3 linked regions of the Caenorhabditis elegans genome follow. The protein of the gene in region 3 interacts with the protein of the main gene of each other region in a pairwise test. Each region holds a gene or a part of one and is shown on either strand. Other genes may lie near its edges. The genes, in order: imb-2, vbh-1 and npp-1.

Region 1 (4,864 bases), on a different chromosome or scaffold from region 3:
CAGATGAGCAGATGATGGATGAAAATCTCGATACATCGGTTGCTTCTAAGAAAGAAGCAATGGACGTCGACGAATTGTCTAACAAAATGACGGATGCTGTGAACAATCTCCAGAAATCTATCACCGAGAGTACAAACGAGACTACCGTTCTCGAAGGTGCAGCTGCTGCTGTGATCTTGCTCTCTGAGTCGCTTCAAAATTTCTCCAGGGTGGGAATGGAGGTAATTTTACACTTGAATTATAATCTTAAAGACTGAATTCAATTGTTTTTTTTTTCAGAAATCGTCCTCCGACGTCTCATCATCATCTGAGCCAGTGTCATCAGCCGAGCCAGCTGCCGCTGCGCTCGTGCCGTCTGAAGCCGGTCAAGGATCTCGAGACGTTTTTACATCACAATCCGACTCAACGATTCCAGAGTCTTCTAGCTTTGATGAGCTGCTTCCAAATTCGTGCAGGGTGAAAATGGAGGTAATTTTAACCTGAATTCACTTGGATGATGATTTTAAAATACTGATTTAAAGTTTTTTTTTTCAGAAGTCATATTCCGACATCCCACGATCAGCTGAGCCAGTGTTCAAGGTTCCTATGATACCAAATCGCCTATCCCACAGCGCCTCCAATGGTTTAAAGCCGGCCGAGATTTCTCCAATTTTGGTGGATTATGATGCTCTGAACTCGCAAGTCGTTCAGCAAGTCTTGGACGATGCCGACGATAAAGATTTGGAATTGATACACGAAGCGTTGGAGAAAGCTTTTGGAAATCAGGAAAATTGGACTGACGTAAGAAAAAAAGAAATAATAGAAATTTTATCGGGTTTTTTTTTTCCAGAAGTCCACAGCGAAGACCGTTACAATCGGCACAATTATCAAGGCGATTGAGACCAAATTCACAGGAATCTCTCGTGAAGTTCTTCTGGAACAGAAGGAATCCATTGTGGAAGAGGTTCTCGGCAACGTCGAGAACGAGAAGGTTCTCGAAGTGCGCACAGAAGCCATCCGGGAAGCGCTCATTGAGGCTGATTTTGGGCCAACCAATTAAATAGATTTTGAAGTTCTGTTTTTTTCTTTTTCCCATTCAATTTCTCTCACAGTTAATGGGCTTCTCTCATTCCTTACCCCTCGCCCTAGTCATAAATAACTGTTTAACATTTTTTTCTATTCTTCTTTTCAATTTTTCTCAACATTTATGGATTTTCCATTCCTTTCCTCTAGTACAATTGTGTTCAATTTGTTGTTCTCTAAATGGATCTCCCGTTCATTACAAAAACTGGTTAAATAACACTTCTCCAAATGAACGTGTTTTATTCATTTTTTATTTGTCAAATAAACATTTTAAGCTTTAAGTTAACTTTTTTAATTTTTTTATTAAATAACTTCGAACACGGGAATTTTTTATATCAAAAGGTGCCTACTACAGTAATCAAAAGTTAAAGGAACATGGCTTACAGGTTACGGGTCTCGCAGCGAAATTCTAGCTTTGAAACATTTGTCATATTTTTTTCCCATGATCATGATAAATACGTTCCCCATATTTGTTACAAAATATAAAACAATTATTTTCAAATTTCCCTTGTGAATGCTGGCGCGTATTCGGTTTGGCGTCTTTTCCGTCCACCCGCAGTGCTCTTTTCTGCCGGCAAAACACAATTTCTCCCCTTCTCAGCAATTCAGAGAACGCGTCCTCATCGATTTTTGCTTCTGGCTGCAGGATTTATCTCCATTTTATTTAAAATATCAATATGGTTGATATTTTGAACACAAATTTCAATTCTGCAGAAATTACTGCATTCTTGACATCAATCCGTAAAATCTTAATTAATTGCTCGTTAAGAAGTTTAAATTTACGATTTTAATGTGTTTCTTTTTTCAGAACAATTTGGAGCTTTATGCCGACGAATCAAAATGGCTTTCCAACCAGACCAACACGAATTAGAGCAGGTGAGCGTCGTTAAAAAATCGATTATTTCGCAAAATCCGAGTTTTCAGGTAATTCAACTCTTACAACACGCTCACTCCACAGACAGAGATGTTCAACGTAATGTTCAAGTGCAATTGGTACAGCTCAATGAGCATCAGAAGTTCTGTTGTTATCTGGTTTACATACTGAGCGACATGAAGGAGATGATTGACGCGACGAGTCGATCGCTGGCCGGCTTGTTGCTTAAAAATAATATTCGAGCAAAATGGAATAAGTATCCGCAGGACGTGAAGTTTTTCGTCAGGACAACATGTTTGAAAAGTATAGGCGATCAAGAGCCACTGATTCGTGCGACAGTAGGTATCATTGTCACGACTATCGTTATGGAGGAGAATATGTGCGATTGGCCGGACCTTCTAGACACTCTGGCCACAGTTCTGATGCAACCCGACGAGCTGATGCAAGAAGGCGCTCTTGGAGCACTTCAGAAGGTTTTCGAAGACTCGGCGGATCGGTATGAGTCGGAATTTCTTCGGCCAATCATGCCGAAGCTTCTTGTTTTCTATGAGCATCATGCTGCGAAGATGCGGGCTCTTGCAATGAATTGTGTGAATTGCATTCTAATGGTTAATAATGATCCAATTGATTTTGCAATAGATCAATTTCTTACTTCGCTTTTCGCTCGCCACAATGACAATGATGAGGAGGTGCAAAAACAGTTATGTAGATCGCTGACGCTTCTGCTGGACACACACATCGAGAAAATGATGCCTCATTTGCCGAATGTCATAGAATATATTATTAAGAAGACTCAAGATCACAACGAGTCGATTGCCTTAGAGGCCTGCGAGTTTTGGCTTTCAATTGCTGAGAATAGTGATATTTGCCGAACAATGGTGCTTCCACATCTCGATAAGCTCATACCAGTTCTGCTTGGCTCCATGCGATATTCTGAGACAGATCCTGCGTTGAAAGCTAATGATGAAGATAGTTCGGTTCCTGATAGAGAGGAGGATATCAAGCCTAGGTTTCATAAGTCGAAGCAGCATGGTCTTGGTGGCCTTGTGGAGTCGGATGATGAGGAAGACGAGGACGATGATGACGATGGTGGTGGCGACTGGAATATCAGAAGGTGTTCAGCAGCATCTTTAGATGTTCTGGCTTCTATTTTTGGAAAGGATCTGTTGGATAAGCTCTTCCCCCTCCTCAAGGACACATTGATGAATGACAACTGGCTGGTCAAAGAGTCTGGAATACTTGCGCTCGGGGCAATCGCGGAGGGATGCATGGACGGCGTTGTGCCACACCTTGGCGAGCTCATACCATTCATGCTGGCTATGATGTTTGACAAGAAGCCACTCGTTCGATCGATCACGTGCTGGACGCTGTCCAGATATAGTTCGCATATTGCATCCGACGAGAACTTCAGGCAACAGTTTTTCAAGGATGTGCTCGCCAATGTGAGAATTTAGAATATATAAAAAACCTCGTAGTGCTTCAAAAAAAGTTTAAAAAAAAACTAGACTTAATTTGCAAAATTGTTTTAAAAGATTTAAAATGGGGTACTCTTTCAGTTAAATTCTAGTTGAACGCAAGTAATGTACTAAATTGAGAAAAACAAATTAATTTTCAGCTTCTCCGCTGTTCGCTCGACGGAAACAAGAAAGTTCAAGAAGCTGCATGCTCTGCGTTCGCAACTCTCGAAGAAGAAGCTGGCGAGCAGCTCATTCCATTCCTTGGCGAGATCCTCGATCAACTGGTCAAGGCGTTCCAGTGCTATCAGGCAAAGAATCTTCTGATTTTGTACGATGCCATCGGAACACTAGCGAATTCTGTGGGCGACGCGTTAAGTCATCCGGTTTATGTGCAAATGCTCATGCCGCCGTTGATGGAGAAGTGGGAGCGGTTGAGTGACGAGGACAAGGAGTTGTTCCCACTTTTGGAATGTATTTCTGCAATTGTTTCAGGTTGGTAAAAGAAATAACTAATTATAAGATAGTTTCGACTTCATACTTTTTACAGCAATGGGACAATCCTTCCTTCCATACATTCAACCGGTATTCACAAGGTGCTGTAGTCTCATCGAAAAGTGTGTTCAACAAAACCAACAACACATTATGGCTCCGGATCAAGTAGAAGCTCCCGAAACGGACTTTATCATTGTGGCGCTTGATCTCCTCTCGGGACTCGCTGAGTCGTTACCGGAACATATGGATCCCTTGGTGGCAAACAGCAAGCTGGTCGAGTTGATGTTGTTCTGCTCGTTAGATGTGACGCCAGACGTCAGACAATCGTGCTTCGCGTTACTCGGAGATTTGACGAAAGCGTGTCCAGAACGAGTGCTCCCACAGAGTAGTAAGTAGCTCCCGCGTCTACAGATTTGATAAACATTTTCAGAAATCTTACAATTTGCAGGCAATTTCATATTTTTTCTCGCCCAAAACCTGGATCCCTCCAAGATCAGTGTGTGCAACAATGCGATTTGGGCGCTCGGAGAGTTGGCGCTGAAAATGGGTCCCGCAATGAAACAGTTCATCGGGCCCATCATTGAACCTCTGATTGTTGTCATCAATAGCCAGCAGAATATGCAGCGGACGTTGTTGGAGAATACTGGTGAATATCTAAAAATAGTAAAAGCTTGGAAACTAGGTATTTAAATTTACAGCCATCACAATCGGCCGTCTCGGACAATGTTGCGGTGAAGAGCTGGCTCCCCATATCAGCCGATTCGTTCGCCCTTGCTGCTACTCACTTCGAAATATTAAGGATAACGCGGAAAAAGAGAGCGCGTTCATCGGTTTATGCAATATGATCAACATGAATCCCGTCGGAGTTCTCAATGATTTCATCTTTTGGTGTGACGCTATCGCTTCGTGGACAGTACCGACCGACTCACTTCGGGTTCTTTTTGCCGGGGTATTTGAAGATTTTCGATTTTTTTCTGAC
Region 2 (6,488 bases), on a different chromosome or scaffold from region 3:
TTGCGCGAAATTAAAATTGAAAATTTCCGGCAAATCGGCAATTTGCATGAATTCAAAGTTTAATTTTTTCCGGCAAATCGGCATACTTGAAAAAATAGAAAATTTCCGGCAAATCGGCAATTCGCAAGAATTTAAAATTTTATTTTTTTCCGGCAAACCGGCAATTTGCCGGAATTAAACATTTAATTTCGAAATCATGTCATTCAAAATAATTCAAATTTTTTGTTGCGAAATTGAAAAGATATGCTATTTAACAGTTATATTTGGTATATTTCGACTAATTTCCGTCTAAAAAAACAAAAAAAAATCCACAAAATACACACCAAAAACGTCTGGAAGCTGTTTTAAATCATTTTTCGGCAAAACCAAATGCATTAGATTACTGCAAGATCTAATCGAAGACGAAAGATTGTGAAGAGAGCATCCAGTGAGAGAAAGGAGATTCAATTGGGACATCTGAAAATAAATTTTGGGTTTTGATGGGAATTTAGTATTATAAAATTTACAAAAAAAAAATTTGTTTGAAATTCCGAGAAAAAAATCGTTTTTTTGCGGAAATTCACGGATTTTCCAAAAATTAAAATTCCCTTACACTCTCGAAAACCCGTTTCTGGGAAAGATTGGCCGCTTCGGTGACCGAATCGATTCGAACATTTTTGATGACAATTTCGAAGCGATTATTCTCGATCGCCTCTATTACCTCCGGTTGCTCTTCGAACATTATTCTGAATTTTAATTTTTTCGGTGAAAAAGTGGGAAAAAAATTAGATAAAGATATAAATAATTGAATCGAACCACAAAATTCGTTATAAATATTGAAAATGATTCAAAGTTTAATATATAAAGAAACAAAAATTCTAGGATTCTAGCGAAACAAAAACAAAAAAAATAATAAAAATTCATTGAGATTTCTTCGGAGTATCCAGCTTTTCCTGAAGATTCTTCTGGTGATTCCGAAGGGCGTCAGCTAGAAGAACATCAAGAATTGATTCAGATTGATCTACGCGGTCTGCTTGTATTTGTGGAAATGGATTTCCGTCGATTTCCAGAACTCCGATATCGTATCGCTTCCAGACTTCTCGCTTATTCTGGATAAATTGTTGAAGACGTTGTGGTGGAAGTCGGAATAGTGATGTGAATGGAGAATCGCGGTCTTGGAATCGTGGAACAATTACCTGGGAAAAAAATGATTTTTTTTTGGCGAAAAATCTTTTTAAATCAATTTACTTCATGCATTTTCGTAATTAAATCCTTCTCAGGCAGCCACCATTCCATCATTTCGGCTGTATACTCGTCAAGTGGTCCTCTTTCGACACCCAATTGAATTAGCTGAATTTTATTTTTTTAAATTTTAATTTTCTCACTCATTTTCAAACAAAAAACCCCTCACCCTCTCCAAATATGGCCTGGCCTCGACGGCGCGGTTCCATTTCAGCTCGGCGCGTTCCTCACGGACAGTTCGGGTGACGATGCGACGGAGCACTTCGAGACGAGCACGACGGCTTGGCTCAATTCCTCCGGTTTTCAGCTTTTGTGGTGCGTGACCAATTGTGACGCCGATTCTTGGCAGTGACACTGCCACTCGGTGAGCTGACATTGCCTGGAAATCTTTTTTTTATTAATTTTGAGTCGGAAATTCAAAAAATTGAATAAAATCCCATATATTTCAATAGAAATTCTAATAAAAATTAAATTTAATTCTATTTCGCGAAATTTCGGAGCGTTTTTTGCGTTGAAACACGCTTCCTCACACACGCACTTTAAAGGCGCACCGATTTACACGGTCGGCGGGTCTCGATGGGAAAACAAACGTCTCTTCATCATTGCGTGCTGAATTCACTTCTCTCATTTCCGCTTCTTCTCTACGGTTTTTCGTGTCGATTTTCTCCATTGTCATCGTTTTTCGCATAATTTTCGAGTTAAATTATGCGAAAAATGATAATTCGTCGTTTATTAATGATAAATACTCATTTTCTCCGTCTTAAAACTTCATTTGTTTCGCAACAAGCCAATAAAATGAATTTCAGATACATATTCTGTAATCTCGACGTCAATTGGGTACAAAATCGGTTTAGATTCGCCGATTTTTCTTTTTCGAATTCCGGGTTTCCGTTTGATATAGTCTTACAATGAACACACAATATTATGCGAATCACAACGGTCAACAACAGCCGCCACAACAACAACAGGGACAAGGGTATGATTTCGAAACGGATTTCAAGATTTCAACCTCATTTTTTCAGCTGGTCATCCTCGTATTCTCAACAGAGCAATAATATGCCTGCAGGAGGCGTATTTTACAACGGATTCGCCAACGGAACTCCGTCAAACAACGGGTATGCAATTCAACAACCTATGGTCCCAGGGATGGGGCAGATGATGGGTGCTCCTCATGCTGGATTTGTTCCTTCTCCTTACTTTCAAGGGCAGCCACAACAGCAGCAGCATTTCAAAATGGGCTACTCAGAAAACTTTGAAAACTTCGATGAGAATGGGTGAGAACAGGTGTATAGTGTGCTGGTGATTGTGTTTGCCTCTAACCATATGCTTGTTCTTCATTTCCTTTGTTGCTTTTTGTTAACCTGAAATGAGGCTTCTCTTTTATCAAATCTTGAAATTGCAGATCGTCTGGGTACAACAACTTCGCCGACAGCGGAAACGGTTTCAACAACAAGTATGTTTAAATCTGAATTACAATTTTTATTAGTAGACGTTACAGTGGAGCCGAGAGTAATCAATGGGGAGGAGCACCTGCCGAATATTCCGAAAGGTGAGATTAAAATGTTCTGATTATTAAACGCGATATGGTATTTCAGCAATTTGTTCCACCGTACCGACAGTGGCATCAACTTTGACAAGTACGAAAATATTCCCGTAGAAGTCAGCGGAGACTCCGTTCCAGCAGCCATCGAGCATTTCAATGAAGCTGGTTTTGGGCCGGCTGTGATGGAGAACGTGAATCGCAGCGGATACTCCAAGCCGACTCCTGTCCAGAAACACTCGATCCCAACTCTTTTGGCTAACCGCGATCTGATGTCTTGCGCTCAAACCGGATCTGGAAAAACTGCCGCTTTCCTGCTCCCAATTATTCAGCATATTTTGGCTGGTGGTCCAGATATGGTCAAGCCGGTAAGTAGGGCAAACCTGCGATCCATCAAAATTCGAAAAATTTATACAAAAAACTATTTTAATTGCAGCCAGCGTTCACAAACGGTCGTCGCACTTACTATCCATGTGCTCTGGTTCTCTCGCCGACTCGTGAACTTGCCATTCAAATCCACAAGGAAGCTACAAAGTTCAGCTACAAAAGCAACATCCAGACGGCTATTCTTTACGGAGGACGTGAAAACTATCGTGATCAAGTGAATCGTCTTCGCGCTGGAACGCATATCCTCATTGCTACCCCAGGTCGTTTGATTGACATTATTGAGCAAGGATTCATTGGACTCGCCGGATGTCGTTACCTGGTTCTCGACGAAGCTGATCGTATGCTTGACATGGGATTTGAGCCGCAAATCAGAAAGATCGTTGGCCAAGGAATGCCACCAAAGACTGCTCGTACCACAGCTATGTTCAGTGCAACCTTCCCGAAGGAGATTCAAGTTCTCGCTAAGGACTTCCTCAAGGATAACTATATCTTTTTGGCAGTTGGTCGTGTTGGATCAACGTCTGAAAATATTGAACAACGTCTGCTTTGGGTCAACGAGATGGAAAAGAGAAGCAATCTGATGGAAATTCTGATGAACGAGCATTCTGAAAATCTGGTTCTCGTATTCGTTGAGACAAAGAGAGGAGCCAACGAGTTGGCGTATTTCCTCAATCGTCAGCAGATCCGCTCTGTTTCAATTCACGGAGATCTCAAACAAATTGAACGTGAGAGAAATCTCGAGTTGTTCCGCTCTGGACAGTGCCCAATTCTTGTCGCAACTGCTGTTGCCGCTCGTGGATTGGATATTCCAAATGTGCGCCACGTCATCAATTATGATCTTCCTGGAGATTCTGACGAATATGTTCACCGTATCGGTAGAACCGGAAGATGCGGAAACCTTGGAATTGCCACCAGTTTCTTCAATGACAAGAATCGAGGAATCGGTCGTGATTTGAAGAATCTGATTGTCGAATCCAACCAAGAAGTCCCAGAATGGCTTCATCAAGTTGCTGCAGAAGGACGCATTGGAGGTGGACAACGTGGTGGAAACCGTCGCTTCGGAGCAACCGACTATCGTGTTGGTCGTGGTGGTGGTGGATCGTTCGGAGGGTAAGATCAAATGAGCAGTTGAAAATTAATATTGCTAATAGTTTCAGAAACTTCTCAAATTACAATTCCGGTGGAGCCACTGGTGGTTTCGGAAGTGGACCCGCCTACGGTGGTTCGTTCGGAGGAGGAGCACCACGTCGCCCGTTCACGAATGGAGGATTCGGAGCTCATAGCTCTCTGTCGTCTACCTCTAATAGTGGTGGCGGTGGCGGCTTCAGTGGCCCAAGAAGAGGTTTGTGGAGAAAATAAAGAAAATAATGCAAAATTAATCAATTCCTTGATTTCAGGTGGCTTCAACAGTGGAATGAACCGTCAGGGTGGTGGCGGTGGAGGTTTTTACTCAAACCCAGGCCAGGCTCCAATTGATCATTGGCAAGCTCCACAAGCTTAAACATTATTCGCAACAAACGGAAATCCGGAATTCCACATTAAAGTCTCGCACCATACTCCTTTTTTTATAATTTAGTTGTCTTCCTTTTTTCCTTTACTCGTTCCATCCATATTAAAATAATCATTTTTTCCTCCTTCTCTTTTTTATTCTGTCTCCTTCTTTAAAGCGTGGCTTATTCCTCTCTTTTATTTCATATTATTCTCTCTGTAATTGTGTTTTAATCATTCAATTTTTTTTATCTCAGAGCTTTAAGTGACGAATATTTTAATGGATTCTATGCGTGATCTAGGGTTTTAACATTGAATTTTATTGTATCCTCCCATTTCCCCCAAAAATGTTGTTGTTGCCTGGCAATTTGTACCATTGTTTTGTTTCTCTTGGTGTTGTTTTCTTGCATCAACAATACCCCGAGAGAATCAATGCAGTTTTATCTCGTAGTTTTGTAGTTTTTCTTATGGCCGCTGGATGGCATCCGATGCACTACCGCGTCGGGGACTCAGCACGGTTTTTCTCTATTATCGGTTGTTTGTAAGCTTTGTTGAAACCCGTTTACATAGTGCTGCCCGTTGTTGATTCGTGATATTGTGTGTATTTTTAATTAATTTTTACTTGTTCCCCAATCTGATCCCAACCATTCGTCTTGCAATTATTCAATTCTTAACTTGGTATAGCTGCGGGTGTCTAATTATATTTTCATAATTGTTCGCCAGTATGATCGTCAGTTTATCATTAAATAATTGCGAGTTAGGTATAAAAAGCTTGGTTGCTCTCTTATGATAATGATCTCCCCCCACCTATCCCCAAATCTCTATCATTTTTCCCTCCAACTGATGTTTTTTTTGAGCCAAGTAATATTCATTGTTAGTTGTTTTTTCTCCCTCTAAACAGTATACACGAAAATCATAGAACCAACCATTTCATAATACTCAAGTTGCACTATCATATGCGTCTCGTCAATAGCTAATTCCAAACATTTTCTAGGCCGGTCTAAGCCGTTGAACGTGCAGTCCGTTTCCACGCTTTCTCTTCAATTTCTATTTGCCAATTTCTCCCCAACCAACTGCATTCTTGTCCAATATGCACAATTTTTCTTTTTTATTTTCATCGTCCCTCTCCCATCATTTTTCTCTTTCCCTCGTCACGCACTTATCTCTGTCACTATGAGATTCTTATCTTCTTTTTCCATCTTGAATGTTCACTTTCAGCTCTTTGAGAATAATCTTAAAAGCCCTTGTGGCCTGACAAATAGTTGAATAAACTTGGTATCTGGTACTTGAAAACATTTATACGCGGGCATGCTGATGCTCTCGTTGCATATAAGAAATGACCGCAAGAAAATTATCTATCTTCACAACATGTCAAATGCTACGTGGTCGTTAATAGTCTAGTCCTAGGCCAAAAAATTAATGTATTAAATATTGCCTCATGTCAGTCAAATTTTCATTTCTATTTGAAAATTTGTAATTATGATTCCAGCAACTTGTAGGCTAAATTCCCGGGAGTTTATGTACCTTCGTTTCCGATGTCATTCAACTTCGAAAAAAAAAACAATCAGCAGTCTTCACCCTCTCCATTGTTGTCGAAATCCTGAATTAAAAACAATTATCATCAATGAAAATTGATAATTCTTGCCTTTCAAATAGAAAAATGCCGGTCTTCTCCTTAAAAATCTGCAAAAGAGGGGGGAAAAATGAGTAAATATGCTTTTGTGGGAGACTCATCATCAAATGAAACCAATATTGCTCGTTTTTTCAATTAAAATTATATATTTAATGATAAAATAATAAAATAAAGCATAGAAATGACACAAATAATATCTACGAAAAGCGAAGGAAAACT
Region 3 (6,007 bases):
CCAACTCGGGGGATTGGCCCCGCCCACAGAACCGTGGCTTGCAATACGCCCATTTTTGCAACTGAATTTTTGCAACTAAAATTATTTTTTCTTGTTAATTCTCGCTCTATTGAGAAAAATACAGTTTTAAAACCGTGCGGCAGTTGCAGAAATGGGCGTATTGCAAGCCACGGTTCTGTGGGCGGGGCCAATCCCCCGAGTTGGTAATCCCCCCAGTTGGACATCCCACGAGTTCTTCGGGTCTCAAAAAAAAGGTTTTTCAAAATAATTTTAATCTAAAATTATTTCTTGAATACTTATTTGTGGCATGAATTTCAATTGAATACTATCAGAGGTTTTGGAAATGTGATACAATTTTTTTGGTTTTCAAAATTTCCAGCAATTGCGCCCATACCGTCTACCTCGTTATTTTCGGAATTTTGGCGGGAAGACGCAGATTGCCTCAAAATGCAGGCAGGCGTTTTGTGTCTACGCGGAAAGCTTACTCTGAAACATACTGAAACTACTACTACTACTCTGAAACTACTCTGAAACTCTTCTTTAAGATTATTGTCGGATGGGGAGTGGCAAGATTCGGGCTGTTCCAATGGATTGCCCCGCAGAATGTGAAAAATGATGTGTTGAACTATATTGGAATTGCATTGACAATCGTGAGTGGAGTTCTTTTGATATTCGTGAAACACGTGGAAACGGAGCCAGAAAATGAATATGATGTGACCAGCAAGGAAATGGAACATCAAGAAGAGATTGAGCAAAGACTCAGCAATTCAGAAAGAGATTCTTCATTTGATATGGCTGGTTTGGCAAAGAAATTACCGTTCGTTGGGCATGCTTAGAAATTTAAAAAAAAAACGAATTTTCAGTTATATCCTTATGGCAATGGTTCTTGCGTGTCTACATGGTTTGATGATGTCACCGATTGAATATTTGAAGCAACAGAATCCACCAACTGATAGTTTCCAAGTGTTTGACTATATTTTCCCATTCTACACATCAGTATTCCTCTTCTCTACACTGTATTTCTTCGCGTATTGTGTAATTTTGCGTCGAAAAGCCTACGTGGAAAGGAATTTGATAATTCCATCGATTGGGTACGGTATTTTATGGACTACAGGTAAGAGATGCGTGGTCGATTGTTCAAATGTTTAGTTCTTCAGGAATGACACTTTGGTTTGTCTCCAGTGATAAATTATCTCAAGTTGTTGCCTATCCATGTACCGCCCGTCTTCCACCGTTAATTAGTGGAGCTCTTGATGTATTTGTATTCAAGAGTATTCAAGGAACCCGATCATATGCTACGTTGGCAATTTCTTCTGTTATTGGTGTCATTTCGGTGATTATGATTGCTTTGTCTAATCAGATTTAATTAGAACAGAACCGAACGATTTATTGATCTCATCTCAAAATGTTGTATTATATTTGAAATAAAGTATTATTCGTATCGTTTAAACGATCGTTTGGTTTAAAAAAAAAATTTTTCAACAAAACAACTGGAAATCTAAAGAAGTTACTATTGATATCTTTTATATCGAAATTCAATTTAAGAATTCTTGATTAAAATGAGTTATCAAATTTTCGCAAAATACGAAGTAACTGAATACCTGAAACATGCATTTCTTTTCACGGTTGAATGTTCTTCGGAATATGTATTCTTTCATCTTCGAGGAGGGTGCCAGCAAACGCGCCCCTTCGTACACAGACAAAATTCGAAAAAATTTGCACGCCAAAGCGTCCCCAAAAATCGATTTAATTCGGCTCATTGTCTTATTTATATTATTATTTTCATTCTAGAATTCTCGCATTAACTACATATGTGTTCTTTTTCTTCTCACAAGCCCCATTTCTCTTAAAAATCGTTTGTTTTCAGCGAAATGTCACTTTTCGGGTCATCTACTCCCCAAAAACAGGCATTTACGTTTCCAACGCCGAATGCTCCAACAACATCGTCTGGAACTTTGTTTGGAAGCACGTTAGTATTTTAAGAAGTATTATTTTTATACAAAAATATTATTTTCAGAACGCCATCAAAGCCTCTGTTCGGTTCAACTGCTCAGGCTTCATCAACGCCTTCGCTTTTTGGAACAACAAATACCTCTACTCCTTCTGGAGGATTGTTTGGAAGTAAGTTTGATATTTTTACTTTTACACAACTTACTTCGTAATCAAAGTTGCATTTTAAACCGAAATATATTAAATTTCAGAGACAGGCACTTCAACTACTACCACTTCAACTGCTGGAACTTTGTTTGGTGCTGCTCCAACCACTTCAACAGCTACTCCAAGTCTTTTCGGTGCTTCTACAACCGGTAAGCTACTCAAAATTATCGATATTTTCGGTCACTTCTACTTAGTTTATACTATTAGCTGTTGTGTGGTCTCGTTGAGAGAAAAGCTAGACAATGATAAGGAGGGGAAATCGATAAATCATATTGATCGAAGTAATACATTTTGGACCAAAAAATTATATTCTAAATTCCAGCAACAAATGAATGAAAAAAGAAAATAGACTCAATATATTTTTTGATCTGACAAATTATTTGACCTACCAAGGTTCTACTTCTGTGATTTGCGCTTAATTTTTATTCAAAATTGTTATTTCTCTCCTATCGCTCTACTTCTCTCGTCGTCATTGTGTTCGTTACCTTCACTTTTCTCTGTCGTGGTCGGTGTCGTGCGGATTTCTTTGCCTGTTCTTCTATCACCCGTGTTGCTCTTTGCTACTCGTTTTCTTCGTCTCGAGCGTCTGCAGAAATGTTTGCCCGACGTGGGGGCATCACCGGAATCAAAGCAGAAGACATGCCGAAGAATCTTCCAAATCTTCCCGATTTACCTACGACATCAGCATCTCAAGCTCCAGCCCCAGCAACCCAGAATGTTAGTTCACCAGCCCGTCGCAATTTGTTTGGAGCACCCAATGACGCTAACCGCACGCTTTTCACAAATTCTCCGGCATCTGGAACCACTTCTGGAACTTCAGGACTCTTCGGAACATCATCAACGACATCTGGAGGTCTCGGCGGTATTGGATCCACACAACAAACTGCCAAATCACCCGTTGCCACAAGATTGGCAGCATTCAAATCAGGAACTTTGGGGGCTGGTAGTCTTTCTGGTAATACTCCAACATCTTTTGCCACACCATCTGCGTTACCAGGAACTAATGCCCCACAGTCATCTTTTCTATCACCGGCAAACAACTTGAATGTGGCTCCAGCAGCTTATCGTCCTCCCTACTCAACATTTGGAGGTTGGTATTCATCAACTTTGTATTAGCTTTTCATATTTCTAGAATTGAGTAGACTTGGTGGGTCAGATCAAAAACCGAATAAAAAAAAAAAAAACTAAACCTAATATTAAATCTTAAAAATAATTAATTTAGATATGTCTAATTAGCTTTAAAACATTGCTTCAAGTATTTTATCGTGAATCTGGAATATAATTGTCTAATTAACGAACTTTGATAATTTTGATGGCTCAATTTTCAGGATCGACCCCATTCGGAGCAGCGTCGACTGGAACAGCCGCGGGATCAACGCTTTTTGGATCGAGTACTGCAAAGCCAGCTACAGGCGGATTTTTTGGTTCCAGCTCAGGGTCTACTCTTGGTGGTCTTGGAGCAACTCAACAACAACAACAGCCTGTTGTTCAGCAGCAACAAGTTATTCAGGTAATTAAATGAATCTTAAGAATATCTGAGCGCTTTTCCAAATAAAATTTTTTCAGCAGTATCACCCATTTGTGAAAGCTGTCGGAGATCCAAAGCTCTTTGGAAATGATAATGATGGAGTTGTTGCTAAGTTGAATCAAGTTGCTGCCGGTTTGGGTGTCGGAAAAGCTCCATACAAAGATGGAAATCAGCTTCTATCGTTTTCAATGGAAGGAAACTTGTTTGAACGATTTGTTGTAAGTTTATTTTATAAATCACTGAAAACTTGCACAGTGTCACGTTTCAGGGAATCGGATACAATCGTATTTCGGAGCGAACCGACGATGAGGGATTTGTAACTTTGGTGCTGCGTCATCCTATTACAAACTTGAACACAGAAGAACGCCGTGACAAAATTCTTGAAATTATCAAAGCTATTCTTGGTGGCGGACCAAATGTAGAAGTTCGATATGCTCCTGGTACTTCGATGAGAACACTTTCTGATGGATGCACAGAAATCTGTATTATCGCCAAAGAAGGCGGATTTGTTGCAGGAGCTATTAAACTTGCTCAAATCCTCAATGATGCTCCAAAAATGACCCAATTAGAATCGCAGTTGCAAGTGGATAAAACAAGGGTTCTTCCTAAAGTTGGAATGTCGAAAGCACAAAGAGATAGATATTTGGAGACAGTTCCTGATGGTTAGTTTACTCGTTATTTTTACTATGTTTATCATTTATTAACAAAGATTTTCGTTTTCCTCCCTCGCATTGTATCAAATTTCATTCATTTCAGGAATCGATGAGCGTATTTGGAGACAAGCAATCAAAGAAAACCCAGCTCCAAACAAACTTCTTCCTGTTCCAGTACGTGGATGGGAAGCATTAAGAGACAGACAGAAGGCTCAAGTTGGCGAGTCGAAACTATTCCACGAGGCAATTAATGCATTGGGAAATCGTGTTGAAGAAGCTAATGTAAGTTGTTATAACTTGATGAAAGTTTACAAATGTCATACATATTTCAGCATGAACATGCAGATGCAGTTGTTAAGATGGAGATTATTCGTAATCGCCATAAAACTCTCTCGTACAGAATTGTTCGTGTTATGCTTGCACAATGGATTGTATCAAGATATTCACGTCAAATTGACACTGATGAGGATGTAATTGAAGCTAAAGCTGATACACTTCTTGCCCAAATGAATCGTCATAATCAAGTGAAGGTGAGAAAAAATTATGATTTAATTTTGTATAAAACAATTAATTTCAGTTTTATGTCGACAAATTCTACGAGATTTTGGAATCAAAACCGGATAAACTTCAAGAATCAATGTGGAAAATGTTTGATATGACAATTGAAGATGAACACTATGCTCGTAGAGTGCTTACCAAATTTGTTAATATTTGCTCTGGCCTTTACGAGTCAACACATCAACAAATCGAAAGTCTTGAAGCTTGTAGAAGGGCTCTAGAAGGATAATTTATTTTTTAGAAAAGATTTTCTGAAAATCTTTTTTTCAGATTTTCTCGTATTAATTTAAAAATTCGCTCATTTCTTTTGTATCATCATTATTTTCTTTCAAACTCTGACAGGTTTCTGGTTATTTCTGTTTCGACCTAAGATGTGTGGCAGAAAATTGTTTTTAAAACTTATACATATTGAGCAAAAAAGCTCGCTTTTTTCTATGTTCGCCTGTCATCACGAGTACATTTTTTCATAAAATATGCCTCATTCTTGGTTGTAACTGTTGATCTGACCTCCTCAAATTGTTAATTGTCTTATTTCACACACTGTTTAATAGATTGAATTAATTCATCTCAAACTTCTATCTAGAATAAATTTGATCTCCATTTTTCTGTTTGAGTTTTGTCAAATAACGGTTGTCTCCCGTTCGAATTTCTGCGATTTTCAAATAATTAGAATCACATAAAAACTATTGCAAAATGTATCTCAGAAAATGGACGATGAAGACAATGATGAAAAGAGACGTCAACGTTCAGATGAAGCTCGTCGAGCCGCGATGAGGCAAAAAATTCAAGATCAGAGAGAAAGAGATCGTCAAATTGCTGCTGACATTGCTAATGTTGACAAAAAAACGACAAAACGCATTGTATTTGAAGATTCGGATGATGGGGATGATCAGGATGAAGAAACAGAAAAAACAGCCGCGAATGGTGAAAAGGTTGGAAGTTTTTCAATTTTTTGAGATAAAAATCTCTTATAACAGCAATTGCCCGATTTCATAAAGTTGTTTGCTGTAAAGACAATACTCGTAAACTAAGTTGGAATAATTCAGAAAACCTCGCGCAGTTCAAAACGTCCAAAACTCTTCGATTCTGAAGATGAAAACGATAAAGATGA

The links.
Region 1: the proteins of npp-1 (region 3) and imb-2 interact in a two-hybrid assay, tested with the Caenorhabditis elegans proteins (one large-scale study listed by BioGRID).
Region 2: the proteins of npp-1 (region 3) and vbh-1 interact in a two-hybrid assay, tested with the Caenorhabditis elegans proteins (one large-scale study listed by BioGRID).

The regions. Positions count from the first base shown.
Region 1 is NC_003280.10:14,363,837-14,368,700, forward strand, and holds the start of imb-2 (Importin N-terminal domain-containing protein), read left to right. Parts: upstream 1-1,864; 5' UTR 1,865-1,902; coding exon 1,903-1,938; intron 1,939-1,986; coding exon 1,987-3,378; intron 3,379-3,551; coding exon 3,552-3,885; intron 3,886-3,940; coding exon 3,941-4,273; intron 4,274-4,315; coding exon 4,316-4,531; intron 4,532-4,583; coding exon 4,584-4,834; intron 4,835-4,864. Other genes in the region: tebp-1 (SPK domain-containing protein), read left to right, coding at 1-221, 280-468, 535-780, 830-1,039.
Region 2 is NC_003279.8:3,157,925-3,164,412, reverse strand, and holds vbh-1 (RNA helicase), read left to right. Parts: upstream 1-2,021; 5' UTR 2,022-2,129; coding exon of another isoform or gene 2,130-2,197; intron 2,198-2,243; coding exon of another isoform or gene 2,244-2,277; coding exon 2,278-2,495; intron 2,496-2,623; coding exon 2,624-2,674; intron 2,675-2,710; coding exon of another isoform or gene 2,711-2,719; coding exon 2,720-2,770; intron 2,771-2,816; coding exon 2,817-3,129; intron 3,130-3,197; coding exon 3,198-4,258; intron 4,259-4,305; coding exon 4,306-4,490; intron 4,491-4,545; coding exon 4,546-4,649; 3' UTR 4,650-5,921; downstream 5,922-6,488. Other genes in the region: Y54E10A.6 (B3/B4 tRNA-binding domain-containing protein), read right to left, coding at 324-456, 593-721; mrpl-17 (Large ribosomal subunit protein bL17m), read right to left, coding at 900-1,175, 1,228-1,329, 1,391-1,597.
Region 3 is NC_003282.8:9,856,621-9,862,627, forward strand, and holds npp-1 (Nucleoporin Nup54 alpha-helical domain-containing protein), read left to right. Parts: upstream 1-1,867; 5' UTR 1,868-1,871; coding exon 1,872-1,969; intron 1,970-2,017; coding exon 2,018-2,121; intron 2,122-2,201; coding exon 2,202-2,306; exon of another isoform or gene 2,307-2,751; coding exon of another isoform or gene 2,752-2,977; coding exon 2,978-3,247; intron 3,248-3,485; coding exon 3,486-3,667; intron 3,668-3,723; coding exon 3,724-3,903; intron 3,904-3,953; coding exon 3,954-4,347; intron 4,348-4,441; coding exon 4,442-4,620; intron 4,621-4,670; coding exon 4,671-4,868; intron 4,869-4,915; coding exon 4,916-5,125; 3' UTR 5,126-5,491; downstream 5,492-6,007. Other genes in the region: K07F5.12 (Transmembrane protein 144 homolog), read left to right, coding at 546-817, 864-1,114, 1,158-1,366; K07F5.14 (NUC153 domain-containing protein), read left to right, coding at 5,604-5,828, 5,943-6,007.